Ovis aries: one gene and its partners. The protein of the gene in region 5 interacts with the protein of the main gene of each other region in a pairwise test. Links are inferred from orthologs where the notes say so. Each region holds a gene or a part of one and is shown on either strand. Other genes may lie near its edges. The genes, in order: TFF3, FXR2, HNF1A, HNF1B and PCBD1.

Region 1 (5,820 bases), on a different chromosome or scaffold from region 5:
ACCATACCCCTACCTGGGGGTTAAGTGCAGCCAGCAGGTGTGTCTGCCCCGGGATGGTGGACAATTCGCACCCCACGGTTCCTGGATCAGAGTTCAACAGAGAGAGAAGAATGCCCTGTTAGGAAGGAAGCCTGGAGAACACACCACGAGACCCCACGCTCCCCACTCTCCCCGCCAGTCAGGTGCAGAGGGGGCTGGCGTCCTCGATGGAGGAGGAGACCGCAGGGTCCCACAGAGGCAGGTCGATCGCAGCTCTGCCAGGCCTGCTGGGTGACCTTTGGCAGATGGCCGGTAACAGAGAGGAGCAAACCCAACTCCATACTGCAGCTGATCTTCAGCTCCAACCTTCATGCCTATGGACGACGGATGGACAGATGGGTGGATGAATGGCATGCGTGCTCATTTGTGTCCGACTCTTCGCGACCCGCTGGACTGTAGCCCTCCAGGCTCCTCTGCCCATGGAATTCTCCAGGCAAGAATACTGGAGTGGGCTGCCATGCCCTCCTCCAGGGGATCTTCCTGACCCAGGGGTTGAACCTGCATCTCTTGTGTCTCCTGCATTGGCAGGTGGGTTCTTTACTGCTGGCGCCACCTGGGAAGCCCTCTTGTGCTCTGTGGCTGGAGCCTAATCATGATGCCCCTTCATCTTGGTACAAGTAGGTCACCTATAGCCTGAAATATGCAATAGCCCCTTCTCAAGGCTCTGCCTCCCAGCCTTAACCTTTAAAGGTAAAACACATTTCATTCACATAGAGATAAAAAGTTGCAGAGCAGAGAATGTTTGTCCTGTTGGAAGTTTACAAGAACATGGTGCCTAGACCTGTGTGGGCTGCTGCAAGAAAAAAGGTCCGGGGTCTAGCTGGTACCAAGAGGTTTGCAGCAACCACCACGCCCCTCCCCTTTTAGTGGAAAGAAACCTGAATTCTAATTCAGCTAAGACAGTTCTTTGGAACATGGGTCCACCATCTTCCTGGATTCTTGGCTTTCCAAATGAAATAGCTACTGTTGCTCCAAAACGCATCTCTCGATTTATCAGCCTATTATAGCACCAGTAGTATGGATTTGATAGCAACATTTTGAGCCTTAGTTTGTTCCTCTGCAAAGTGGGTATAATTATTCCCATTTCATTTAGATGTGCTTTTTAATTAATTACTTTTGTTTTTTTGGTTGTGCTGGGTCTTCCTTGATGCACAAGGGCTTTCTCTAGTTGTGGAGAGCAGGGGTTACTGTCTAGCGTGGTGTGTGCACCTCATCGTGGTAGCTTTTCTTGGTGTAGAACACAAGCTCTCGCCTCAGGGCTCAGTCGTTGTAGCACAGGGGCTCCACAGCTGTGGCTCGAGGACTCTGGAGCTCGAGGGCTTCAGTAGCTGTGGCAGATGCGCTTTGTTGCTTCACAGCAAGTGGGATCTTCCTGAAGCAGGGACTGAACCCTTGTCCCCTACTTTGGCAGAACAGATTCTTAACCACTGGATTGCCAGGGAAGCCCCTAGATATGTTGTTATAAAATAATTTCTAAGCTTTAGCTTTCATATTAAAAAAAATGGAAAGGAAGCTGGGCAAGGTAGAGTAAGTTCCCTTTTGTGTGAACAAATGTGCTTAAAAGTACAGAGGACATTCTGGGAAAATACCTAAGAACGTGTGAAACTTGGACAGTGTCACACAGAAGGGGCAGAGCCTTCTGTACTGTCTGCCTTTAACAACCAACTGCAGGTATTGTATCTTTATTAAAACATACTCAATAATTAATACATTTGTTAAAATGTAGTTGATAAAAATAATTTTTTGCTGGAGAAAAAGCAAAAAATAAAGAAAAAGCACTTCTACATTTCAAGAGCTGTGACACAGAAATGAAATCAGCACACCCCGTGTACCTGACTTGTAGTTGTCACCTGTCTTTTCAAGTACTCGAGGTTGGCCTGGGATTAAGTGGCCTGGAAACTCATGTCACTGAGCAGGGACCCTCCTGACCTGCTCCTGGGTGGGTTGTTGGGTGGTGCCCAGGCCTGGCGATACTTCCTTGAGCCTCACACTGAGCCTTTGTTCTTTCCTCCTGGCCAGGCTGACAATGGGCGTTGACCCTGCTCTGGCTCCCTGATACAGAGGTGTTCACAGGCAGCTGCATCTGCCATCGCCCCTTACTCGCTACCACAAAACAGTGGGGTGGGAAGCACCTCTACCCTTGGGATGGTCGAGCCTCTGGGGACTTTGTCGTCTCGTGCAGGGCAGGAGTGGGCGGGGCTGGAGGGAAGGGCTCCCAAACAAACAGAACCCGGAGTGCCTGTGTAAACACAGCGGTATAAAGGTGTCTTCTTGGGCAACTCAGCATGTTCTCTGAGCGGTCGGGTCCCCGAGCCAGCCTGTGACCATGGAGGCCAGAACATTCTGGCTGCTGGTGGTGGTGGTCCTGGCCTTGGGGTCCTCCAGTTCGACCGGGCAGTACGTGGGCTTGTGTGAGTACCGCTCCAACCCCCTCCCACTGGGCAGCAGGGAGGAGGAGGGTCTGGGTGGCAGAGTGGGAATACAGGACAAGGGGACAGGACATGGAAGAGCCAGGCTGGGGGCTTTCTGTGGGCTAGAGGAAAGTGACCAAGCTCCTTAATAATTTAATGATTGCTACTTTAGCTACTGGACACAAGGAGCTGACTCATTGGAAAAGATCCTGATGCTGGGAAAGACTGACGGCAAAGGAAAGGGGGGTGGCAGAGGGTGAGATGCTTAGATAGCATCACCGACTCAGTGGACTAGATAACTCAATGGACGTGAGTTTGTGCAAACTCCAGGAGATAGTAGAGAGCAGAGGAGCCTGGTGGGCTACAGTCCATGGGGTCGCAAACAGTCAGACACGACTTCATGACTGAACAACAACAAGCTTACCAGACACACACATTTTCTCTCAGCAGCCCTACAAACTGGGTCTTGCTGTCCCCATTTTGCAGACAAGGAAACTGAGCTTCAGAGAGTTAGTAAATGACTCTGCTGGTCAGTGTGGAAAGCAGGATGGGAACCCTGGTAGCCACACCAAGCCTACCCTCCCACTGCCTTCTTTGCTGGAGACTTCTGAATTAACAGTATAGGTCTTTCTACATTATTCTGACACATTTGCAAAACACAAAGAAAAGACAAATGAAAACAGCCACTTCCAGAACATTTTCAATACCTACAGTTTTCATTTAGCGACTCAATTGTAATTCCAGGTGGGGCATGGCTGTTCCACTAATTGGATTTTGCAGAAATTAAAGTGTGGCTTTTATCAGGTTCTGAGTGGTCTCAAACTCGGCACCTGGAATCACCTGGAAGCTTTTAAATCTCAAAGCCCAATAGGATGTGCCAACTACATCAGAATGTCTCTGGGTGGGAGCAGGTGTCACTGGTCCTGACCCCAACGTGAGCAAAGTTTGCCCCAGTGGAATAAGGACTTATGATTTGGCAGCCGTAGAAGCAGATTCTAGGTTCCCTGTGAATTCTATTTTCCTAAGGAAAAATCCGGTTAAGGCATGAGGCACAGCGGACTTTTGCTGAGCTTCTGACATAAAGGCTTATCTGAAAAGTGAATCATACAGACCCACAGATATACAGGCACGGTGTGTCAAGGGAAATAGGGAGAGGCAGAAAATAGCACAGGTTGCGGTTTTCTCACTTGAATGCCTACCTTCTATTATCCTATTCATTTTTAAGGAGGAAGATCTGTGGGGAAAACACTGAAGGGGAACTTTGTTTCCGGGTTCAGGGGACCCTGGATTCCTGTGGGTACCTGCCTACTGGCGGGAACCCAGGCTCCACAGGTGCTAGGAGCAGCCAAGTGAGAGACCCCGGGCAGCTGGCCAGATCTTTCACAAAACCGTTCTCCTGAAATATTTATGGGGAAAGAAGGCCCTGGAGCAGCAGATGTTGGGAGAGGGGTGGGGTTGTATCCTATGAACCGGGAGCTGGGGGTGGGGGGTGGGGGGTGGGGCGTGCGGACTTGTAAATGCGGCCGGCGGACCAACCCCAAGCCAGAGAGGGCTCTCTGACCCGGCTTTGTGTGGGCCAGCGGCGAACCAGTGTGCGGTGCCGGCCAAGGACAGGGTGGACTGCGGCTACCCCGAGGTCACCCCCGAGCAGTGCAACAACCGCGGCTGCTGCTTCGACTCCAGCATCCCCGGGGTGCCCTGGTGCTTCAAGCCCCTGCAGGAAGCAGGTGAGCCCTGGGAAGCCACACACACCTGGGCCCTGGGTGGGCCCCCCTATGCCACAGCTGTCTGCTGGGCAAGGGGGGGGTGCTTCCCAGGTGGCACCAGTGGTAAAGAACCCACTTGCTGATGCCGGAGACACAAGAGACGTGGGTTCAATCTCTGGGTTGGGAGGATCCCCCGGAGGAGGGCATGGCAACCCACTGCAGTTTTCTTGCCTGGAGAATCCCATGGATAGAGGAGCCTGGCGGGCTGCAGTCCAGGGGGTCACACAGAGTCGGACACGACTGATCATGCATGCACTTAGTTTTTCATCATTTCAGAAAGGTGTTCAGAGTCAAGGCCTTATTAGAGGGAAATAGTTTAAAAGCTCCTCTGGAGAAAAGTGGACAATACCTGGGTTTGGAAAACTGGGCTGACTTTCAAGGCTGTTTTCAGCAAGCACCCCACTCAGAGTCTCGGTCATTTGTGATCTGTGACGTGCTCTCTGTCTGGACGTGGAGTCCTGGCATGTCTCCCCACACCGCCACTCCCCTCCTGCCCCCACCACGAGGGGCTCCCCGTTTCCTGGCTGGGGCGGTGGGGTGCAGGGTGGCCCCGGGGGACCCCGCCCTGGAGCAGCTGGCAGTGCCCTGGGTGCTCTGCTGTCCTGGCTGTGTCCCCCGCCCCCTGGCCCGTCCCCCATCTCCACCCCTTTGGAGGTTGCCGTGAGCCATCTGGAGCCCAGGTGCCAGCTCACCTTCTAAGAGGCACGTACTACTCCATGAGGCCCTTTCCTGGAATCGGCACAATGGCAGGGGAGTGGCGGGGGAGATGGGGGCATGCTTGCCCTTTGTCCCTGGGGAATGACAAAGGCGCCTGCATTCCAGCCAGCCGGTCTGCCTCCCTAACCAGTTATGGGGGTGGGGGGCTACCCATTGCCCAGGGCTCCTCCCCTTCCCACAAAGGTCCAGATCAGGCTCTGGGCCCAGTGGGGAGTCACCCCTGTGCCGATCATTACCCCCTCCACCCGCTCCTCAGCTCGAGATGATACTTCTTTGAATTCTAGCAGCGGCCCTGTCTGGCCTGGTCCATCTCAGGCTCCATTTGTCCTGACCCCTGGGGTATCCCTGGGGTATGGGCTGTTCTCCCAGGAGGTGGGGACTCGACCCTTCCCCAGGGACTTGGCAGAGAGACAGCACACACCACTGACCTTGGAGCTGGTCTGGACCTGGAGAAGCCAGGCAGCGGTGGCTGGGGACCACACAGCTGAGGGTGATGCTTGTCTGTGCTTCATTTCCAGAATGCACCTTCTGAAGCTGCGTGGCCGCCTGACACCCAGGGAGGGGACCTCCGCACTTGGGTACCTAGCCTGCCCACCCTCATCCCTCTGCTTGTCTCACACTGCTCCTGGCCAGGCCTGAACCAAACGCCTGGGGCCTGATGTCTTAAAGAATAAAGCTCCCGTGCTCAGCATGAGGACAGGTCTTCATTCCTAAGAATTGACGCCGCTGTGTTTTATTTCTGCCAAGTCACTCTCTCCCTTCTCAGCCTTCCACTGATGGGGGCAGGGGGCGGTGTCTTAGCATCACCTAGCAGAGGGTCTGCCCTAGGCCTGGGGAGCAGGGAAGGACCCCAAAGTAGCTCCCTAGAGGTGAGGATGCTGCAAACC
Region 2 (5,850 bases), on a different chromosome or scaffold from region 5:
TCTTTTCTTCCTTTATAAGGGTCTGTCTGGATTTCTCTAAAAATTTCATCTAGCCTCTGCAGCTGACTTTATCCAAAATGTCTATCTCTAAGCTTTAGAAACAGTTAATGAAGAGAAAGTTAGCTATTTTCAAAACATTTCTGGGATGAGATAAAACACTGTGGAAAAGATAGAAGAGAGTCACTTGCCTGCCTTTTTTGTGAAGAGATTCCCCACTCCTAGATATAATCATTCACAAAAAATGCACTTTTCCCTCACATTACTCAGCAGTTCAACAAAACATCACTCATTCTTACACTTCTAAGGTCTTTTTTTTTTGTCAAAGATTCTCCAAAACAAGCTTTCTCCTCAATTTCATATTCCAATTCACTCTCTGCTCCTTAATTCCACTCACATTATCCCAGTTTTTTCCTTCATAGATACCAGTGGTAGAAAGTGAGTTCCTCGTTCTGCTCAATCCATGCTCACTGAGAAGATAAGCAAGGGAGGGCAAGAGCAGTTAAGTGAATCTCTAGAAGGCTACCTAGATCCAAAGGATGACTCAATTCAATTCAACAGTCATGGCAAATGGGCTTTGGCTTATAGGTGGATGCTATATCCTTAACAAAGGAGTAGGTATTGGGATATCCAGGTAAGGTCTAGAAAGTTGGATGGCCATGCCCGAGAAGATGAACGGATAGTTCACTTGGGAGAGTACACCTTAAGGAAATATGTGCATTAAGTTCTGACAGAAAAGGAAGAGTTGATGGGATAGCTACAAGATAACTTCTGGTATTTTCAGTTCTAGCTTGTAAGAAGAAAAAAAACAACAGGACCCATTTCTGAGAGAGATGCACGGAACCTCCCCAGATTTATAGTTCTAGAAGCAATGTAAACACTCCTTGAACCACACTGAAGTCTGCTGAGTCATGAATATTAAATCAGCAGCAAGGTCAGATTCAGTAAGTATATGGCACTGAAAGTTAAGAAAGATTACTGAATTTAAGGATGTTTTGTTGTTCAAATGAGACAAGGAGCAGAAAATGCTAAAGTGGCCAAAATACAAACTCCATATTACCTGGCTTTTAGTTGAACTCCAAATTCTATTCTCTGATTCAAAGCATCCTATCTTTGATTCACTGAATCAAGTCTATCACTGCCATATAGCCCACAGGAGAAAAGAGAAAGATTCAGAGACAGACTTTCTACTTGACACTTATATGTGGAAAGGGAAACATGCCCCTTCCCAGCAGTCTCACACGGTTAATTCAAACTGGATACTGATCTTTCCCATGCTTCCTGGAACAAAAGCAAACATTATATCTTGATCTCAGACTCAATTTAAGAAGCACTTTCTTGGGGCTGGGAAGGACCCTGATGAAGGACAGGATATTGTGGGAAATTAGGTTAAAATCTTATGAGAAAGGGTATTTCAACAAAGGTAAGCAAGCCTGAGGGAAAAGGATATAAGAGACAAATGTACTCTATCAGAATCAGAAAGGAATTAAGAGACTTTGCCAAAGAAAACAAATGGTATGGAGGCATGCTAGAGAAAAAAGTCCCATGAGTTAGGAAAGTATGTAGAAAAAGAATGAAAGAAGGGGTAAATTGGGAGCTTCCTTCTTCCATGTTAGCTGGGTCATGGAATAGGTAGTTTTGGGGGATTATGCAGAAATACTAGGATAAAAAGCCACAGACTTAAATTGAGAAATTAAGACAGATGAGGTTACGCATAGGCAATGAAGAATATAAAGAAATCTGGTGAGGGGAAGTCAGGCAGGAATGAATAGGCATTTAGAGTGGGTCAAAGATGACCACTGAACTTATCAATTGAAGCTGGGGCAGAAACCTACTCCAAGGGCTAATATGAGACCCTTTCCAGTTATAGCAAGATACGACTTCACAGGGAAGGAAAGTCATTTCCAAGATACCAAGGTGGAGAGGTCCACTACGGGAGGAAAGGCTTGAGGGGAAGTGGAGGAAAGGGGGCTCTTGTCCTCACAAATAATGGATGAGGGCAAAATGAGAGAACAAGTCAGGAAGCAGGAAAGTCTCTGAGACAATCCCAGGCATAAAGCACAAAGCGGTTCAAACTAACAACATAACAACAGTGGCAAAAGAAAAATTCCTGAGAGGCAAGAGGGGTCTCCCTCTAGCTTAATATAAATGAATGGGGAAAAAAGTGTCCTAAAAAATAGATTCAGGGGACTTCCCTGGCAGTCCAGTGGGTAAGACTCTGCATTCCCAATGCAGGGGGCATGGGTTTGATTCCTGGTTCAGAAACTAAGATCCTGAATGCTGCACAGCCAAATAAATGAATATTAAAAATGTAAAGACAGTCCTCTTCTCCTTTAAAAAAAATAAATAAATAGACTATTGGGTTTCCAAATTGGGCAGGTTGACCAAAAGTCTTCTAGAAGTGGAAATCCTTAAGAAAAAGATAAACAGAAGTAATCCTCATGAGATCTCATTTTAGATAGAGAGTAGGAGTATGAAGCTCACACTCCTCAAAATGAAGAAACTATATGAATGATTTGAATGTATGAGGTCAACGTGAGATGACAAATACAAAACCATCCTCCAGTAGAAGAGCAGACCAACTAGCCTTGGAAATAAAGGGGTGGGGTGAGAGAGACTTGTGAAAAGATGCCACCTTATGGCTAGGAGGCAACTAGACTGATACAGCCCAGAGTTCCTGAGGTCAAAGATACTAAATGTCATAAACAGCTTCTGACCGTTTCTCCTTGGTGTGGGAACAGAAATATAAGATGAAAGTGGAGTGAGTCTTTCAGAGCCAGTAGGCAGAGGCCTCTCCGAGGAAGATGAAAGGATCTAATATGGGACGGCTTTCCCAAGGGGGTAATAGGGGAGAATAAAGAGAATTCTCCATGTGCTTGGACTGTGGGGAAGAGGTGATTAAGATCCAAGGTATGCCTTCTATTAGGAGACAGGAAAAGTCAATAAGACGCTAGGGTAAATGGGGTCTCTCCTGGGGGCTGCGGGGGCGCTGATCCAAGCACAATAATGCCCTGATGTTCATTCCCAGAGATGCGGGTAAAAGCAGGTGTAACAGAGGGGCCAAAAATAAGGGGTTAACTTCCAGAAGTCTCCCCCAAGGAGGGCCGCGGGTGGGATCGTGGGTCCAAGGTTCTAAGGGTCAGGGCTAGCTCCAGAACCTCGATCCCACCCCACTCTTCCCCGTTCTGGCTGGAGGGAGGGGGCTGAAGACCGCGTCCCTGGCCGGCGCGCCGCCTCACCTTGTAGAAGGCCCCGTTGGAGCCGCGCACCTCGACGGGCAGTCCCGGCTCCACATCCCCCCCCGAAGCCAGGCCGCCCATGGCGCCGCCACCGCCTCCGACTCCCCCGGCGGCGGCTGCAGCAGCGCTCTGAGTACGGGCCGGGCCAGGTCCCCGGCGTCTCCCTGGAGGAGGAGCTGGAGGGGGAGCCGCGGGGGGCGGGAGCCGGGCCGGCCCCACGGCGGCCCTGCCACAGCCAACGAGCAGGGGGCCGGGGCCGGGCCGCTCCCCGTCCGCCGCCGCCGCCTTGGTCTCCGCCACCGTGAGGAAAACGGCCGCCGCCGCCGCTGCCTTCGTCACCTCAGCTTCCGCCCGCCGCCGCCCCCGCTGCAGCCTCAGTCCCGGGACCCACTGCTGCCGCTGCCTCTACACGGCCTCCTCCTCCCTCTGCCGCCGCCGCCACCTACTGCGCAGACGCACCGGGCACCCGCCCGCCGCGCGCGGGCCCCGAGGGCCACGGCGCACGCGTCAAGGCTGGCGACCCAGCTCTCGCTGGCCAGCGCAGCAGGGCTTCCACACTCCTCTTGCCTCTCTCACGCCCCCTCCTGGTCGCTGATTTACGCTTGCGCAGAACCAAACTGACTCTCTTTCTTCGCCACCCCACCATTCCACCGCCCAGTCTCTGCCTTTCCCCGCCCCACAACACAGAGAGCTAACCAATCATGGGGAGGGAGGGGCCGAGCTCACTCAATCGGATTGGGCTTCTGATGCTCCTTGGTCAGGCCACACCCACTTCACGGCTGTGCGCTCCACCAGGCTTGGAGAAGTTAGGGACGGGCATGCGCCTGAATGATTGCTTGGTCACTTTCTCCACCTTTGTCTTTTTGGTGCGCACGCTCCGGGGCGGGAGGCGGGGGGAGGGCGCGGGAAGGAGGAGTCGAAAAGCAAAAATGGGCCTAGTGCGCGTGCTCTGGGCCTTACAGTCCACATGCCGGTATGGACTCTTTTGAGTGTTTCTGTTTCTGCGCGTTAAGATTTAAATTAAGAGTCACCTTCTTGCCTTGAGAAGATTCTGATCCTGCATATGATGAAAGGTTAAAGAAAGATTTCAAGACACTACCGAAAGGCAAATGCAATTTGGCACAAGATTATTATCTAAATGCTGAGAGATTTCAAAATGGGAAAAATTGTTAGAGAAAGGATAGTTGAGGGGAAGCTTAGGATTCATAAACTAAGTAAGAAATTTAAGTAGAAGTGAATAAAATAGCCAAGAAATTAGGATCATGTGTGTGCAGCTAATCATTTAGCCAATATTTATTTAGCCCTCACTGTGTTCCAGTTACCCAAAACAAGGATTTTATGATATATTGGAAATGGCGCAGACAATCACATTTAAGTAAATAAAGTGATTAGAGTTCATCTGAAGATGTGTTAAAGATGAGGACTAGGATAGAGGGAATCCCAAAGACACAAACAATGGTCAGTTGCCCTTCAGCATGATAGGGAAAGACCACTACAGGTGAGGTAATGCAAATTGAGATTTGAGGGATAAGTAGGCGTTTGCTAGAGGAAAAATGCAGTAAAACTATTTTTGAGAGAACAAGGAATAAACAGTGCAGAGGAGCAGAAAAAAACAAAACATGTCCTTTGGGGAACCACAACTAGTTCAAATAGCATTTGGCTTGAAGTAGGGAAGCTAAACTGTGAAGCACTTATAAATCAGGTTAAGGAGAATGGCCTTCACTTTATCAATACTACGGAGTCACTGAAAGATTTTAAGCTGTAGTGTAAGTGCAGTGGCTCAGCGGTAAAGGGTCTGCCTGCAATGTAGGAGCCGCAGAAGACACCGGTTCAATCCCTGGATCAGGAAGATCTCCTGGAGATGGGAATGGCAGCCCACTCCAGTATTCTTGCCTGGAGAATCCCATGGACAGAGGAGCCTGGCGGGCTATAGCCCATGGAGTCACAGAGAGTCAGACACAACTGAGCATAAAGTATATGTCATACATGTCCATCCCCAACTCCCTAACTATCCCTTCCCCACATCCTTTCCCCCTGCAACCATAAGTTCATTCTCTGAGTCTCTCTTTTGTAACTTCATTTGTATCATTTCTTTTTAGATTCCACATATAAGGGATGTCATACGATATTTCTCCTCTGTCTGACTTACTTCACTCAGTATGACAATTAAAAATAATTTATTTAGCCTTCCATTATGCTCACACTAGGTTAAGTCTTCTACCTCATGCTGCTAAAGCATCATATACTCTTTTATGGTACTCATCATAGTTATAATTTTCATTATTTCTCCAGTGTTTGTCTTCTGCCGTCCCACTATAAGTAAACCCTGTGAGATCAGAGACTGGGTTCCATGTGTCTGTTTGTCCCCAGTATTGTATACCCAGTACTTAGCACAGTTCCTGGCATAGCAAGTAATAACCAAAGGAACCAATGTCCTGTAGGTCAATGGACATAGCCCAAGACAGGTCTGGGCTAGAGAGGCAAATGTGAGAATTATCATCATATTGCTGGTTTAGTCGTTGTGTCTGACTCTTGCGATCCCATAGACTGTAGCCCACCAGGCTCCTCTGTCCATGGGATTCTCCAGGCAAGAATACTGGAGTGGGTTGCCATT
Region 3 (5,079 bases), on a different chromosome or scaffold from region 5:
TCGCTCAGTCGTGTCCAACTCTTAGCGACCCCATGGACTGCAGCCCACCAGGCTCCTCCGTTCATGGGATTTTCCAGGCAAGAGTACTGGAGTGGGTTGCCATTTCCTTCTCCAACGCATGAAAGTGAAAAGTGAAAGTGAAGTCGCTCAGTCGTGTCCAACTCTTAGCGACCCCATGGACTGCAGCCCACCAGGCTCCTCCGTTCATGGGATTTTCCAGGCAAGAGTACCGGAGTGGGTTGCCCTTCATGGAATTCTCCCTTTGGCCGCAGAAACAGTGGTGTTTGATGAGGGGGTGTTGGACCAAGCCTTGCTGAGAGTGTTGTATGTCTTCATGGTATATGCACCATATCACCTTTCTAAGAGCTGAGAGGTACACATGGCCCCAAGGGCACACGTGGGTGTGTACACATGACCATATGGATTCACACCCTGAAATGTATTCAGCCCATGGACATGCATCTGAGCACCCCCAGAGCCCCCATCACAGAGGCACTCACACTTCTGTGAGTATCAGACACACACACAGACCACAGCATCTGCCATGCCGCCCCTTCCCCTGGGTTCCCGCCCCCCCGCCCCCAGCAGGGGGCCAAGGGCTGCTCACCGTGGGGGCTCTGCAGCTGGGCCATGGTGGCCATGAAGGGGCTCTGGGCCACGTGGCTTTGCACAGAGGGCATGAGTGGCTGCTGATAGGACGGGTGCAGCGGCTGCGAGAACTGGACGGGCTGCAGGGTGGTCAGGCTGCTGCCCATGCTGTTGATGACCGGCACGCTCTGTGCCTGCGTGGAGGCCAGGCCTGGAGTGGTGGGAGGGGCAGGGGTCGGCCAGGCCTCGGAGACCACCAGGGGCACCATCCCTCCCTCCTAGAGCCTGTGGCTTGGAGGAGGGGATGAGGTAATCCGGAAACAGCCTTGTACTGCGTTAAGGCCCTGGCAAGTGACTCCCCCTCTCTGAGCTGCTAGCTCGCTATAAGGGCAGGGAGTATGTCAAAGAGGGTTCCTTGGTGCCCTGGGGTTCCACAGCCCGTGCAAAGGCCCTGGGGCTTAACTCTGTAACCCTTCCCCATATATTGAGCTTCTGCATAATAGTTCTGTGAATAAAGTCTCTGAGCTTTAAAAAAAAAAAAACCCTAAAACCTAGGAAACGTCAGTCCCCCTTGCGCTGCTGTTTTCCCGTAGCTGTTTCACCGTCTCAGGTACTGTGTAACTTAATGTATTGTTTATCTGCCTCCCCCACGTGGGTGGCTGAGTTCTGGGGCTCTTTGGTTCACTTGTGTGTCACTGGTGGAGCATGGGGCAGGCACTCAATAAATCTATGAATGAATGAGTCCCAGTGGCTCTCCCTATTCCTGGATTCAGCGGGAGCCTCCATGAGCCCCTCACCCAGATGGCCCCCTTCCAGCCCCACCAGCTTACCAATGACCAAGGTGGAGGCTCCCGTGTTGGTGAACGTGGGGCCCAGGGAGGCAGGCTCTCCAGGCCCAATGGCCATGACCCCGGGAAGCGAGGCCATGATGAGGTTCTGGGGCTGCTGGCTGAGGCCTGGAGAGGTCTGCTCCAAGCTGTGCAGTGCTGTCAGGGTGCTGACCGGGGGCAGGGGGCCCCCAGTGGCTGAGACCTTGGAGGGGAAGCCAGACTGAGTCAGGGCGGGGCCCCACCCTGCCTCCCTGGGTACTGCCCCAGAATCTCCCAGCCGAGGGGAGATGGGGGAGGTGGGGGGACACTCACCAGCTTGGCCTCTGTGTTCAGCAGGCTGTGACTGGGCTCCAGGCCGGTGGGAGACACTTGATGCAGGGATGCAGACACCGTCACCAAGGGACCACCGCTGCTTGAGGGCACTTCCGCCCCCTCACTGGTGGCAGGCTGTCCATAGCGCACACCTGGAGTGGGAGCAACGTCCAGCCTCAGCGCCCCACTTCCCTGCCTGCGCCCACGGCCCCCAACACCCCTAATTGTATTGGCTTGTTCAGGCCACTCACACTATCTTTCTCTATGCAGCCAGCAGATTTTGCTGGAGTATTCACTTCCTGCCAGGCCCTGTGCTGGCTGCTTGTTCAACCCCTTGAACACAAGCTTTGTGTTTTATTAGCTCTGTGGCCCCCACTGCCCAGGGCTACACCAGACACACAGTCGGTGCTCAGTGAAAGACAACAGAGCCAAACTGAACTGAGGCTAATGAAATTAAACCGCAGCAAACTTGAGCAGAATGAATTGGAATTAGTTGAATGAAACTGATCAAGCTGAAGCAAACCCGAAATGAACTGAGATTGATTGAGTTGAACTGGATCAAATCGAATTGGATTGAAATTGAACTGAACGATACGAGATTAACTGAATTTCCTTGAAATACATTTAGTTAAACGGATCAATTGGGAATGGGATTGGACCAAACTGTATGAAATGTAAATGAAACTCAGATTATAGTGAGTTGAACTGGATTGAGTTGAATTGAACTGAGCTGAAAGCAGTTGAGTTGGCTTGATCGGGAATGAATTGCTGTAACCCAAATCCAGTGGGGTTGGAGTGAATGCAGTGGACAGAAGAGAGGGCAGTGGATGGAGCTGAGTGGTCAGAGGAGAGGAGAGGGGTGGGGCGGATAGGGCAGTGTGCATAGAGCTGGAGCCATAATGAGGTGCCAAGTGGCTTGTGTGGCTTCAGTCCTTGGGTGGTGCTCCCCAACTCTCCCACTTACCCCCATATTCCCACTGCCCGGTCCCCCTGCCCACATGGCACTCACCGTGGACCTTACTGGGGGAAAGGGCAGGCGGGGGCAGACCAGGGGAGCTGTGGGCAGGCAGCACAGGGCTGGGACCTGGCCCCGGCGGTGGCCCGCTATACGTGTCCATGGCCAGCTTGTGCCGAAAGGCTTCTTCCTTGCGGCGATTGGCAAACCAGTTGTAGACACGCACCTCTGTGACGAGGTTGGAGCCCAGTCCCTGGGCCTGCGACGGTGACACGCCCCTCTGGATGCACTCTGCCCTGGAGAGATGGGCACTGTGAGCCTTCTGGGGCTGGGGGAGGTTCTGAGAAGCAGGGCTCTCTACCTGAGAGTCAGCTGAAGCTGACAGACCTGGCTTCCGAGCCCAGTCTGCTCTGCGATCTTGAGCAAATGGCTTAGGCTCTCTTGAGTCTCTTCATACAGAGGGAGCGCAGTAAGCGGAGGGCGGGTGAGACGAGCAGCCCCACTCAGGGGCGCTTGGGTAGGCGGGGCAGCAGCTCCTAACCGTTTTGGCACCAGGGACCGGTTTCACGGAAGACAGTTTTTCCATGGGCTGGGGAGCGGGGAATGGTTTTGGGGTGATTCAAATGCATTGCATGCATTGTGCACTCTGCTTCTGTTGGGGCTTCCCTCTGCCTGCAATGCAGGAGACCCAGGTTCGATCCCTGGGTCAGGGATATCCCCTATAGAAGGGAATGGCTACCCATTCCAGTGTTCTTGCCTGGAGAATTCCATGGACAGGGGAGCCTGGCAGACTACAGTCCATGGGGTCACAAAACGTCGGACACTACTGAGTGATTAACAGTTGTTTCTATTAATATTACATCGCTCCACATCACGTCAGGCATTAGATTTGGAGGCTGGGGACCCCTGGGTGGGGGGTGGGTGCCAGAAATAGAGCCAGGTTTCAGGCCCTGAACAGGAGCTGAGAACTCCTGGGCCAACAGCAGGAGCTCTCAAAACCAGGGGGCCTCCCTCAGGATCTGGAGCCCTCCTTACCTTCCCCAGCCTCTCCCCAGCCCAGACCCAGCCAGCCCTGCCGACCGCCAGCCATCCTACCTGTTGCACTCCTCCACGAGCGCCTCTCGCTCCTCCTTGCTGGGGTTCTTCTGCCTCTCATAGGCCTGGAACAGGATCTGCTGGGAGGCTGGGCCCCATTTGAAACGGTTTCTGCGCCCCTTCTTGGTAGGTAGCTCATCTCCTGCAGGCTCTTCAATCAGCCCACCCTGGCCTGCGTGGGTGAACTCTGTGGGCACAGAGAGCTGTGAGCAGGACACTGGCCAGCCCACCTTCCCGCATCAGCCTGAGCATGCCTCTGCTTCTTCCTTATTCCTAGGGTGCTGAGCCAGAGGAGCTTGCTGCTCGAACCCAGAAACCGCCTACCCCTGTGATGACAAACACACATCACACACGTCACCCTTTGCCTCACGTGCGTCCAAGGCAGACATCACTAATCAACCCCTGCACACTTTTCTATTGGGCCACGATATAATCTCACAGTCCTCAATATAAGGCTCCAGGTAAGCATCACCTTTCATTCACATTGGACACGTATGCCATCCCATTTTACAGAAGATGTAACTGAGGGTCAGGGAGGTTAAATATTTTTCCAGGGCCACACAGTAGAGCAGAAACCTGAGCTTGTATCTCCTGAGTAGATTCAAGAGTTATTTTCAACATTCTAGCCTTGAAAATCAAGCCTAAAGTACAAGTATTAGCCAGGAGAGAAGAGACCCAGCCACTTTCTCAGCTGATTCTTTGGTAGGAGGCCAGTTAATGGCACCTCCAAATAACAGAACAGCTAGCTGCCCTTCAAACAGCAGAGGAAATATATATATGTGTATATATATAGTATATGGCTCATGTATGCACGGGGGTCATCCCTGGTGCCTCAATGTTCACCATAATCTTGCCAGGGAAGCCCCATGGACAGAGGAGCCTGGAGGGCTACAGTCCATGGGGTGGCAAAAGCCGGACACGACTAAGTGACTAAAGAGCAGCGCTATATTATACCTCTGGAAGGATCTGTATGAGACTAGGTATGCCCATGGCTGCTTTAGGAGAAGACACCTAATTTTTATTGTAAAATCTTTCTTCTGTTTTAGTAAAACTAAGTATGAGTATTGCCTAAAAACAAACCTGGATCATTATAAAGGAAACATCAAAACCCATCTTTTTTACACTTAGGCTCTAAAGTGTGGAAGTGTACTTGGGACTCTATAGGGTATGAAGCTCAGGTGGTAAAACCCACCATGCCCTGAATGAAAATGCTCCTAGCTCTCCCCAGGTTTGCAGTGGAGGGTTCCCTGAGCATACACCTCGCCTTTGAGCCTTAGCTGCTGCTGTTCCTTCTGCCTG
Region 4 (5,615 bases), on a different chromosome or scaffold from region 5:
ATGTAACATTTTGAACATGCCTGTGTAAACATCAGCACTCATTTTAAAAGTTTATTTCTGCTAAATACTTGCACAGTATTTTCAGGGTGAAAAAAACACCTTCAACAGATACCAACAACAGCTTCGAAAGTTAGAAAAAGTATTTGGGTTTTTAAAGGTAATGCTGCTTCGACAGATTCTTTAACATTTTTGATTTTGTTTAAAGTTTTTACTAGCATTTATTTTTTGTGTTTAAGAAACCTAACCGAAATAGTGTAATGTTCTGAGAGTAAATAATTCCGTGGAAAAAGTGAATTAGCTTAACGACTGGAAAGGTTTAAAACAAAAAACAAAAGGCCAGGGAAACTATATAAACGATAGCAAATCTTTCAGCCCGCATTAAAGACCAGAGCTGGGGATAAGATGGCGTAGTTACACCTTTATAGCTCTGACCACAGAATTCTCATGGATTCACCGGCAAGAGCCCCAAGAGTCGGTTGCGTTTTGAAATTTAAAAATACAGCCAGTGATCTGGGGTTCCCAACCCCGGTAAACACACGGATCGGGAGAAGGGCGCCCGGCATTGTCCTCAGGGCGCAGGTGTCAAGCGCCCGACCTCGGCGCCCGCCTGGTCGGCCCAGCACGCTCCTTTCCAAACAATGCCACGAACCGAGAGGCCCTGGACCCCGGCTCCGATCGCCGCGATTTCTTCTTTAAGAAGCCTCCACCGGGGCTTCTTGGGGAGCAACCAACTTTCCAACTTTTCACCGCGCGCGCCAGCCTAGAGCCGGGGCCGGAACCGGCAGCGCGCAGCCCCGACCCGCTTTCCTCGTCTCTCTCTTCTTGGAGATGGAAAGAGCGGCCAGCCGCTCCCCAAAGTGACTTGTCCTGTTCTTTTCTTTCCGCCTTAGCGGAGCAGGGTGGACCAAAAGCGGAGTGCGCGCCTCTGGCGTGTAGCAGCCAACTGCGCAGTGACCTGGGGACCGCTGGCGATTTCTTGAAAAATTACTTTAATCAAGTCTGGCCACTCCTGAAGGTGGGGGAGGGAAGTTAGCAGCCGCTGGGGAAAGGAGGAGAAACCTTAGGGCCTGTCCTGTGTGTTCCCCACCCCCGCCCCCGGTGGGGGTCTTGGGCCCCCTAGCCTGGCTCTCCGCCCCCTGGAGCCCGGAGCTCTGCGCAGCGAAGAGCGCTGAGGTCCGGAGCCCAGGGCCGGCCTGGCTCTGTGCCCGCCCGGCCTGCGGCGTCGGCGACCTCCGGGGCAGCCCGGGTCAGGCGCGGGGCGCGGGGCGGCGCGGGGGCTCTCCTGGGAGGGCCGGGCAGCCCGGTGCGTGTGTGCTGAGAGCCGCGAACAGCCCCGCGAGGCCGCTTTCTGCTTTCCTTCCCTCTCGAAGCCGCGTTTACAACTTCACCAATGAATAACCCGCCTCTCCGTTCAACCTAATCACGACTTTTTGTGTATCTTTCTGTTGATGATTTATAGAAATAAATTAATAACACCCTAACTCCACGTGCTTCAGTTTATATTACATCTCTGCCACGTCTAACCCGGCGCGGGGCTGGGTGTCGAGGGACGCCCCAGGTTCTTCTTCCAAAACCCCGCTGGAAGGCGGGTGCCTGCGGCCAGGCGGATGGGCCTAGGCCCCGCGGGCCCCGGTGCCGGGCGGCCGGACATCGGCGGTTCCTCCCGGCCCGGGGTCAATCTCCGGCCCGCCCCGGCACCCCAGCCGCTCTCTTCTGACCCCTCTCACCTTCCTGCACCCCTAGCCCGGGCCGGGGAGAAACCGCCGCTAAGGGGGCAACCGCTAGGCAAGAAAGAACCTCAAACCCTACGAACTAACTGTAGCAACAGACTTTCGGGAAGTTAGAAAAAAAAAAAAAAATCTAGAAATTCCCCTGATTGTTTTGCTAGAGAGTAAGCCGCCGGGTCCCCAGGTAGCAAATTCAAATGCAAGGTCATATCGCATCCCAAACGGCCAGTGCGGGCGGGTGACCCGGGCTGCCCCGGTCCCGGGCGCGACTCCGGCCCTGGCCTTGCCTGGGGACTGCGGCGCTGGAGGGTCCGAGGCCAAGCGAGGGTCTCGGTCCCAGAGTAGCCTGGCTGGGAGCGACAGTAACAAGCTGTCAAAGCCCTAGGCCGCTCAGAAAGGCTTAGCAAACCACCCGGGGCCGGGAGACAGACCTCTGGGCAACCGGCCTGCCTGGATTCCCCGGGGATGCCGGGGTGTCAGCGGCGAGATCCGGGAACGCCCTCCTTTCTCCCACCAAATCCACGGCGAACTGGAGGCTTGAACGCACTGATCCCTCGCTTGCTAGAGACGCGGTTTCATTGCCCCTTGCGAGTCCACTCCAACCCGACAACGTGCAAGCATTTCCTTTCTCAGATCCAAACGGGCTTTGGGGATCCCGGATAACCTCGGGGGCTTGCGCGGGCGCTGCAGACGAGAGCGCCCATCGGAGAAGGCGACCCCCAGATCCCAGCCCCGGAGCCGCCGGTCCCTCTGCAGAGAGCCGCAGGACGCGGCTCCCCAGGCCGGTTCCGCAGATGCGGCTCCCCGGGAGAACTGCTTGTGGCCTGGGGTTCCTGAGGGCCCGGAGCCTCGGCACTGGGGAATCGCCGAGGTTTCACTGCGCCCATTCGCACCTTCGGCCGCGTGGGCAAGGGCTCTGCAAACTCGGTTCTCCCAGGCCGAACCCAAACACAGCCGGCAGGGCCCCGCCAGTCCCGGGCGCTGGGCTGGGCAGGAATTCACGAAGTTTCGGGGCTCGGGCCGTCCGATTGAGGGGCTGGGAGGGGTCCAGGTGTTGGAAGAGAAGCGGAGCGCCCCCCCCCGGGGACTTCTCTGGTGGGAACCAGGCTTGGCAACAGCAGTCGGGAGCCGTGCGGCTCAGCCGCGGGGCCCGGGGCTCCGGGTGTTCAGGCGCACCCCGCCGCACCTCGGCCCGCGCCTACCTGAGCATCCGGTCCACCTCCGCCCGCTGCTCCGCCGCCTCCTCGGTGTTGAGCGCTTGCAGCTCCTTGAGGATGGGAGGGGTGTCATAGTCGTCCCCGTCTTCGGAGCCCTCGTCTCCGGACAGGCGGCCCTTGGCGTGGCCGTTCGTCAGAGTATGGAAGACCGGCTTGGTGTCCGGCTCGGCCCCGCTCCCAGGGGACAGGGGCAGCGTCTCCAGCTTCACCCCGAAACTCGGGGACGGCAGCAACTCTTCCAAGGCCTGGATCAACACCTCCTTGGTGACCCCGGAGCTCAGCAGGGCGCTCAGGAGTTCTTGCTGGAGCGACGTGAGCTTGGACACCATTTTCCAAGGACAGAGAAAGAAGGGGGTGAGGGGGCGGGCGGGTGGGTGCGAGAGAGGGTGGAGGGGAGTTTCACAAGCTAGCCCCAAGTCCAGGAACCCCCCCCACCCTTCAGCCTCCAGACACCTGTTACTCCCCGGGGTCCCGGAGTCTCCTCCGAGAGGAGTCAGAAAACTTCTAACTTGCCATGATCGCCACCATTAGGCCATATAAGATATGCAAATTAGCGGGGAGGGCCCGGCTTTCGGCAAGATGCAAATAGTGGGGAGGGGGGGCGCGGGGGAGGGGAACCGAGAGAGTGAGAGTGAGACAGGAAGACCCGAGAGCCCGAGGCCCGAGCCGGGAGCCGGGACGCTGGGGTCCAGGGTGTTCACGCCGGGGGGCTGAAGAGATTCGTGCGCCGCTTCCGTGTATCAGCCAAACTTCAGCTGACCTTTGGACTCGTTAAACAAGTAGCTTGCAGCCTGGTGTGCAAGGCGCCGGGACTTTTCCACCCGCGGCGGGTCCGGCTTTAAGTCCGGAGAGAAGGAGAAACTGTGCTCGGGGGCTCAGGTGAGGGCTGGAGGAAGCTGGGGTGCTCTTGGGAGAAGGAGACGGAGGAGCGGGACCCTCACACGCGTCCCGACCAACCTGCAAGTGGTGGGCCCGGTGAGCCGGGCGAGCGGAGGAAGAAACTGACCGCAGGGGAGTGGACGCGGGGACCCGGGGAAAGAGGGGCGTGTTGGGCGGGGGTGAGTGTGGAATGCCGGGCGGGTGGCGGGCCCTGAGTTCTACCTGGGTTACCGCTCTGCCGACCCCAGGCCTCCGGGCGCCGGGGCTGGCGGCTTGGATCTGCAGAACTGTCGGCCGCAGAGCGTAGGCCAGCGGGAAGGAGGCCGGGAGGACCCTTGGGAAGAGGAGGCGCCGACTAACTGGGTGCCGCGGCGCCGCACCGGCACCCAGCCTGGCCAAGCCGCGGGCAGCTGGACGCCCGGGCCCCTGGGCTTTAAAACCCAGAATCTCAAAGCGCGCTTTCGGGGCAAAACTGGGATTGCGGGGCCTCCGTTCTGGCGGTGAAAACTGGCTGGACAGTTGAAGCCGCACGTCTTCTGGGCGCACTGATTTCTGGTTTATTCGCAGCTCCAGGACACAGCAGTTCCCAGGGCCAGAGATTGATCTCTGTGGACGCGAGGTCAAGGCGGCGGTGGCTGGCGACTCCCACGCCTAGTTGGGAAGGGACCGACCAAGCCAGCGAGGGACAGAAGTGATTGCTCACGCCGGCCCGGTCCAGGAAGGAAGCCGGGAACCTCTCAGCGCTATCGGAGTTTCACCGGCATCTCCCCGAGGTGCTCCGACTCCAGGCTGCCCAGGACCTGCAGAAGATCCAGGGCAGCAGGGGCTTTTTAGGACCCATGGCTCACAGTCCCATAGTTCCTGGGGCAGAGGACACCTCCTTCCCCTCTCTAAGCCTCAGGTTCATCACCTAAGAAATACTGAAATCTAAAGCCCAGAGGATGCGGCATTGTGTACATTGAATAAGCCCACCTGTGAAACCCTGTATTCCAGGATCAGTGTTCACACTTTTCTGAGAAGGCAGGCAGTCGGTTCCTAATAGTGAAATCTAGCAGCCCCTAGGGAGGTTCAGGATTCTCAGAACCAAGCAAATTCAGCGCTGGGCTTGGAGGGCCTGGGAGCTTAGGGACAAACATTCAGAATGAACAGGGCATTTGCAAAAGAGCTTCTAAGCAAAGTCTCCCTACTTTCCCACCTTTTAAAGACAGTTAGGAGGAGGAGGAGAATTTCAGCAGGAATAGGAGTGGGATTGGGGAGGGTCATCAGATCTGTCTGCTTGGTTCAGGTACCAGGGCTGAAACTCAGATGTGGTTGATCCAAGTCAGGCTGTTAAGAAGCTTGTTGTTGTTGTTTAGTCCCTAAATTGTCTCCCACTCTTTTGCAACCCCATGGACAGTAGCCCTACCAGGCTCCCCTGTCCATGGGATTTCCCAGGCAAGAATACTGGAGTGGGTAGCCATTTCCTTCTCCAGGGGACTTTTCCCCACTCAGGGATGGAACCCATGTCTGCTGCATTGCCAGGTGGATTCTTTACCACTGAGCCACCAGGGAAGCCCTGCTAAGGACCTAGGTTGACTTTTTAAATTACAGGGCTTGCTCTGCACTCCTGGACCACCCACGAGAAAGGGGTGGTTGTGTGCACGGAGCTCTGGGTGACCTTTACAGCATCTCAATGTCTTTCCCAGAGAAAGGGGTAAGAAGTTCATAGAAACGAGGGCTCTTCATTTCACCTTATTGTCTTGGAGTTTGTTGTGACATATGGCACCTCCTTGCCCCTCACTGTTCAGCCCAA
Region 5 (5,570 bases):
CCACACATTATCTCACTAGTGTTCTAGTTTGCATTTTTTTTAAAATCTGTAGTGAGACTGAGTATTTTCCAGGGGCCGTTTATGTCGATTCTAGGAAGGAGATGAAAGGAACAGGAGCTGATACTATGTCAGTGAGGAGGGCCCACAAGGAAGTCCAAGGGAGAGGCCCTCAGAGCGAGCTGGAGTTCAAGGCATGCAACACTCACCTTGTTATACACGTTAAACCATTCGGGATGGTGGTCCAATTTCTCAGCCTGCAGAGCCACTCTTGTCATGAAGCCAAAAGCCTGTTTAATGAAGCAAGACCCAGGTTAGTATTCTGAGAGAAAGGACAGCTGGGCTCTCTTTACGGCCAGTGTGAGGCCCAGAAGGAGGAGGATGGCCCCGATCCCTACAAGGTAACCTTTCTAGCTTTAAGCATCCCTCCTGGTGCCCTGCCACTAGCTCTGAGGCTGGAGTTTGAGGTGGTCCTTCTGCAGCAGAAAGTCTTATCACTAGGACCACTAAGAAGGCGGAAATCCCAAAGAGGTTTTGCGTCTTGGCCAACCTTTAGGTTATCTACTAAAATGTCTTCAAATAGTCACCTGTTTCCCACTTGAACTGTCTCCTCTTAGGACTATTTCTAAAAGTTCCAGGAATGGAGAGTCCATGGCTTCCCTGGTGGCTAAAGAATCTGCTTACAATGCAGGGGACCCAGGTTCGATTCCTGGGTCAGGAAAATCCCCCGGAGAAGCGCATGGCAACCCACTCAGTATTCTTGCCTGGAGAATCCCATGGACAGAGGAGACTGGCAGGCTATAGTCCATGGGGTCGCAGAGTCAGACACGACTGAGCGACTAACACACAGAAAATGGAGACAGCCCAGGGCCTATCTTTAGCTAAACTGGATGAAGACAACCAAACTGGATTCGCACAGCATCTTGAGAGTCTTGGCTTAAAGTACTCTAAGGGAGGGAACACGTTCTGGAGTGTGACCCCATCAGCCCCGGTCTCAGGAACTGTGTCCCACCCCAGTCATACCCGATTAAAGTCTTTGAAATGGAACTGCTTGAAGATGGCATCCCGGCCTTCCAGCTCGTTCCACCCCACGGCCCGCAGGTTTGGCAGCAGCTGGTCCCTTTCCTCAGCACTCAGCCTGTGTGCTTTGCCAGCCTAGGAGAGGGAAAACACAGACGCTCAAGGGCACTCCCCCCCCCCTTTAAACAGGACAAAAGAGAGGGCCCTGGGCTGTTGGGGAAATTTAGCCAGCCTCCACTGGTGGCTGTGGTAACACAGTCAAAGGGCAGCTTGTCTAACGCAACAGACTGGGAGGAGGGGCTCTGGCTCGGGCACTGATAGGTTCTTAGAGAACAGAGAGTCCTGAGGTGTAACGCCAGTCACCGGGGCAGAGAAACGTTCCTCCCTGCGCCTGTCCTCAGAGCTTTCAGAGGGCACCTCTCCATTTAAAAATCAGATCTCTTTCATTCATGAGAGAATAAAAGCAAATCCTACTGTGACTGTGAACTGAAGAGGAAACAGGCCTAGAGAGGGGAAATGACAGCCCCCTCTCCCCGACTCCCCTGTTAGTGAAAGCACAGGCATCATTCTCAAGATGGGTCCATATCCCTGGGGACTGGCAAAGGAACCAGCACTTAAAACATATCCCAGGAGATTCTTAGCTATTGGCACTACCTCCCAGTGGGTACCCCACCTCGTTGCTACACAGCCTCTGGTTCCCAGCTGCCAGGCCTATGTTTCTTTAATTTCTACCTTCTTTTCAGCTTGTCAGCTTGTCAGCTTGAGCCAGAGCTCAGGCCCGAAGCAGGAGTAACTTGGCCAAGGGCAAACAGACAGGGCAGTGCCTCAGCCTATTTTCCAATTGTGCAAAATATCCCTGGGGCAGCCCAAACTGGCACCATTCAGGCTATGAGGGGAACCTTCTCTTGGAAAACAGAAGAAAGGAAAGGTCCGTGCTCCAGCCTCGTAAAAAGATCCAGGTGGAGGAGCTTAAGGGATCCTAGAATTTAGGCCTGTGAAGTAGAATTACCCAAGGATGGACATTGTCGGGAACCAAATTAAAAGTGAATTAGTTAGGTCTGGGAAAAGAATATGAGGGAGGTTAATTTAGTTTTGATAAGGCAGCCTGCAAACTGGAAGCCAGGTGGCCTGGGGGCACTCATTTCTCCTGCTTGAAGGGTAAAAAGGTACAAGAACTGCCACTTTAGGAATCAGCAAGGGGAGCCAGGAGACACTTAACTCCATTGCTATTGAGGGGATATTATTTGCATTTTTAAAAGGAGACTTCTTGAGGCAAGCAGGTCTATGATAGGCCTTCAGGTGTGGGTTAGAACTGAACAAAACACTGCAGGGTCCTGGTAACTCAACAGTTTTCTCCCTCCTAAAAAGCGTGGGCTCTCTCTGGACAGATCTGGATGGGTCCGTCTCCTCTCCTAGGCTCTGTAAGATCAGCAAGGACAGCTGAGATTTACATCACCATTCAACCCAGTCTCTCTTCCACAGCCTGGCCCTGTCTCAGTGGCTGATAAGCCTGGTCTATGTATCCAGGCAACCAGATGGCAGCTAAGGCATCAGAAGCTACTACCTAGTACGCTGACTCTGAAAGGAGTGCATGGGTACTAGCGGGCTCCTAGGAGGCTCCCCTTTCTCTTTAGAGTCTTCTGGAATCCCCAACATTTCACAGCCTGGGGCTGAACTGACAAACCCCTCTGAGATCTGGGCTCAGAGAGGGAGCAGGGGCAGTGTTAGCTTAGTAAATCCCAGGCCAGGCCTGGGCCTCTGGGTGTGCAGAGGGGTTACTGATTACCCACGCCCTGCAGCTGCGGAGCCTCAGTGTACCTCACAATCAGCTCACCCACCACCTCCCCTATGTTCAAGCCAAGGTCTCCAAAGTGCCCTCCCAGGTGTCACCGCAGTCCCAGCTGCTCCTGATGCTTTGGAGCCTAACGTTTTTGCTGTTTAGTAAAGGTCTGGGTCTAGAAGCGTCCCTTCCTGCTGCCCTGCAGGTTCACCTTCATCTCTATAGCTGAGCATAGGGCCTGACACTCTGCTCCCAGAAAGTTCAGCCTGGAGGGCATATGATCCTGAGCAATCACGTCCCCACTGCCGGGCACAGGCCTCAAACTAGGCGCCAGAGGCTGGCCCTGAGGTCCAGGCTCCGCAGAGGGGGCTCAGCTAGACCTCATGCCCCGAAGTGCAAGCGAAAAGGACAGTAAACAGGCAGGCAGAGGCACACGGGAAATTCAGCCGCCCCTGCTTTGCACACCCACACAGGCATCGGTCTCCTCGCCGCTGCACCCCGCCCCCGCCAGCCCCCATAGGACAGGGCCGCGCCACCGAGGGGACTAGGTCTCCGGGCTAACTGTGCGGCCATTCCCCATCCCCGTCTCACCGCCCCCTCCCTGCCCGAGGCACCGAGGCCCTGAGCGGACTCTGGCCTGGGCTCCCCGCTGGCTGTCACTGAACCTGCCACCGCCCGTCTCTCGGCCTCAGCGACCCCGGCGGCACCACTGCGGGTAGGGTGGAGGCGGGACCGAGACCCCGACTCCCCCCGCCCGGCGCGCGGCTGCTTCGCTAAGGCCTGGGCGGGAGGCTCCCCCGCACGCCCAGCGCGGTCCTCTGGCCTGGGCGGGGAGACTGTGCGGGCCCCGGCCCTCCTCCGCTCCTCCCGCGCGTCCCCGCCGAACCCGCTGCCCGCACGGCGGCAGCGCGTGAGCCCCCTCACCATGCCGGACGCGGGGGCGGCAGCAGCAGCAGGTGGCCGCGGAGTCCACCGGCGCGACGCCCGGCGCTCTCGGAAGCCGTCGGGCGGGGCCGCGCTCGGGCCGCCCCGAGGCGGGAGCGCGGCCGAGAAGGAGCCGCCCACCGGTAATCATTAACAACCGCTGAGGTTCCCTTCCAGCACTTTCCTCGGAGGCAAAGTTACAGGGAGCTGGGGGAGTTCAGGACCCGGGCTCCAAACGCGGACTTCAGTATTTGCATCGCGCGGTGCCGCCTCCTATGTGACTCTGGGCGCGAGATTACTTTTTCTTTCCTACAAACACCTCATTGAGAAACTGACCCTCACAATAAGCTCCGCATATTTCAAAGGTACACTTCGATGCGTTTTGACGTAGTAGGCATCTGTGCAACCATGCATCACCACGTGGTATGCATCGCCGCGATGAAGATCATGAACATAGACATAACCCCTAGATAGCCTGCTCCTAACTCAGACAACCCCTAACCTGTTTCCCTATAGATAAGGTTGCATTTTCTATGTGAATGGTATGTGAATGATATGTGAATGGACAAAACATTCCATTCTTATATCTGCCTTCTTTCACTCAGCATAATTACTTTGAGGTTGATCTGCGCTTTTGCATATATCAATAGTTATTTAATAGTGTTACATTGTGTTGGAAGTGTTACAGTTTGTTGGACATTTGGGAAATGCTACAATTTGTCTGACATTTGGGTTGTTTCCAGTTTTTGACAGTTAAAGCTGCTGTAAACTTTTGGGTGCATATATGCTTTCGTTTTTCTTTCATATGCAGGGGTATATGCTTATAAGTTGTTAGGAAAACTACCAAACTGCTTTTCCAAGTGGTCAGATTATTTTACATCCCCATCAGTAGTGTATGAGACTTTGAGTTCCCCCCCACCTTCACAGGTGCACAAAAATTTGCCATGTCAGTCTTTTAAATTTTAGCCATTCTAATTGGTATGCAGTGATATCTCACTGTGGTTTTGAGTTTCCTTAATGACTAATGATGTTAAATACCTTTTTGATAGGGACAGAGTAAAGGGATAGAGTACGTGATTAAATAGTTAATCCCACAAGGGGATGGTAAGTAGAAAAAAGTATAGGAGACCCCTGTAAGTTAATGGTTACTCAGGAGAGCAGGTTTGCTTAACCACAAAACCAAGTAGGCTTACTTAGCAGCTAAACCATGCAACAGAAGCATAAGACATGCCCCCAAACAATGAAACAATGGTGGCTTGAGACCTACATCCTGCCCAGGGAACTCAGTAAGTTAATGATCCCTAGGACATGCTCTCTGCACAGATTAAAAAAAAAAAAAAAAACAACCAAAAAACCACAATAATTTGTGAACCTAACTTAACCATGCAGGGACAAGAAAACTCCCTACCCAACCTGGAGGAGGAACTGATGATGGAAGCATGACACCTACTCAGGAAAGACAGAGAAGTTCTCCTTCCCACTTTTCCTTTGATTATAAAATTGTAGCACACTAACTTCTGGGGAATGGCATCCTCTCGCCCACTTGCTTGTAAGCCTCACATTATTTATTCTAATAAATCACTTCTTATCTATCACTTTGCCTCTCACTGAGTTCTTTCTGTGCCGAGACATGAAGAACTGTGTTACTGGAGATCTTCCTGGTGTTGGAGAAGACTCTTGAGAGTCCCTTGGACTGCAAGAAGATCCGACCAGTCCATTCTGAAGGAGATCAACCCTGGGATTTCTTTGGAAGGAATGATGCTAAAGCTGAAGCTCCAGTACTTTGGCCACCTCATGCGAAGAGTTGACTCATTGGAAAAGACTCTGATGCTGGGAGGGATTGAGGGCA

Evidence for each region.
Region 1: the proteins of PCBD1 (region 5) and TFF3 interact in binary tests that used the Homo sapiens proteins (3 or more experiments, as listed by UniProt). The two-hybrid records come from large-scale screens. The link is inferred for Ovis aries from reciprocal best matches to the Homo sapiens genes PCBD1 and TFF3.
Region 2: the proteins of PCBD1 (region 5) and FXR2 interact in binary tests that used the Homo sapiens proteins (3 or more experiments, as listed by UniProt). The link is inferred for Ovis aries from reciprocal best matches to the Homo sapiens genes PCBD1 and FXR2.
Region 3: the proteins of PCBD1 (region 5) and HNF1A interact in binary tests that used the Homo sapiens proteins (3 or more experiments, as listed by UniProt). The link is inferred for Ovis aries from reciprocal best matches to the Homo sapiens genes PCBD1 and HNF1A.
Region 4: the proteins of PCBD1 (region 5) and HNF1B interact in binary tests that used the Homo sapiens proteins (3 or more experiments, as listed by UniProt). The link is inferred for Ovis aries from reciprocal best matches to the Homo sapiens genes PCBD1 and HNF1B.

The regions. Positions count from the first base shown.
Region 1 is NC_056054.1:263,245,952-263,251,771, reverse strand, and holds TFF3 (trefoil factor 3), read left to right. Parts: upstream 1-2,320; 5' UTR 2,321-2,365; coding exon 2,366-2,450; intron 2,451-4,030; coding exon 4,031-4,177; intron 4,178-5,451; coding exon 5,452-5,465; 3' UTR 5,466-5,627; downstream 5,628-5,820. UniProt on the Homo sapiens protein: Involved in the maintenance and repair of the intestinal mucosa. Promotes the mobility of epithelial cells in healing processes (motogen).
Region 2 is NC_056064.1:27,151,667-27,157,516, forward strand, and holds the start of FXR2 (RNA-binding protein FXR2), read right to left. Parts: upstream 3,686-5,850; 5' UTR 3,318-3,685; coding exon 3,237-3,317; intron 1-3,236. UniProt on the Homo sapiens protein: mRNA-binding protein that acts as a regulator of mRNAs translation and/or stability, and which is required for adult hippocampal neurogenesis. Specifically binds to AU-rich elements (AREs) in the 3'-UTR of target mRNAs.
Region 3 is NC_056070.1:63,315,834-63,320,912, reverse strand, and holds part of HNF1A (hepatocyte nuclear factor 1-alpha), read right to left. Parts: intron 4,242-5,079; exon of another isoform or gene 4,058-4,241; intron 3,968-4,057; coding exon 3,781-3,967; intron 2,982-3,780; coding exon 2,740-2,981; intron 1,883-2,739; coding exon 1,731-1,882; intron 1,621-1,730; coding exon 1,419-1,620; intron 800-1,418; coding exon 608-799; intron 1-607. UniProt on the Homo sapiens protein: Transcriptional activator that regulates the tissue specific expression of multiple genes, especially in pancreatic islet cells and in liver. Binds to the inverted palindrome 5'-GTTAATNATTAAC-3'.
Region 4 is NC_056064.1:13,734,885-13,740,499, forward strand, and holds the start of HNF1B (hepatocyte nuclear factor 1-beta), read right to left. Parts: upstream 3,451-5,615; 5' UTR 3,274-3,450; coding exon 2,930-3,273; intron 1-2,929. UniProt on the Homo sapiens protein: Transcription factor that binds to the inverted palindrome 5'-GTTAATNATTAAC-3'. Binds to the FPC element in the cAMP regulatory unit of the PLAU gene. Transcriptional activity is increased by coactivator PCBD1.
Region 5 is NC_056078.1:26,302,575-26,308,144, forward strand, and holds the start of PCBD1 (pterin-4-alpha-carbinolamine dehydratase), read right to left. Parts: upstream 3,813-5,570; 5' UTR 3,725-3,812; coding exon 3,722-3,724; intron 1,153-3,721; coding exon 1,021-1,152; intron 288-1,020; coding exon 207-287; intron 1-206. UniProt on the Homo sapiens protein: Involved in tetrahydrobiopterin biosynthesis. Seems to both prevent the formation of 7-pterins and accelerate the formation of quinonoid-BH2. Coactivator for HNF1A-dependent transcription.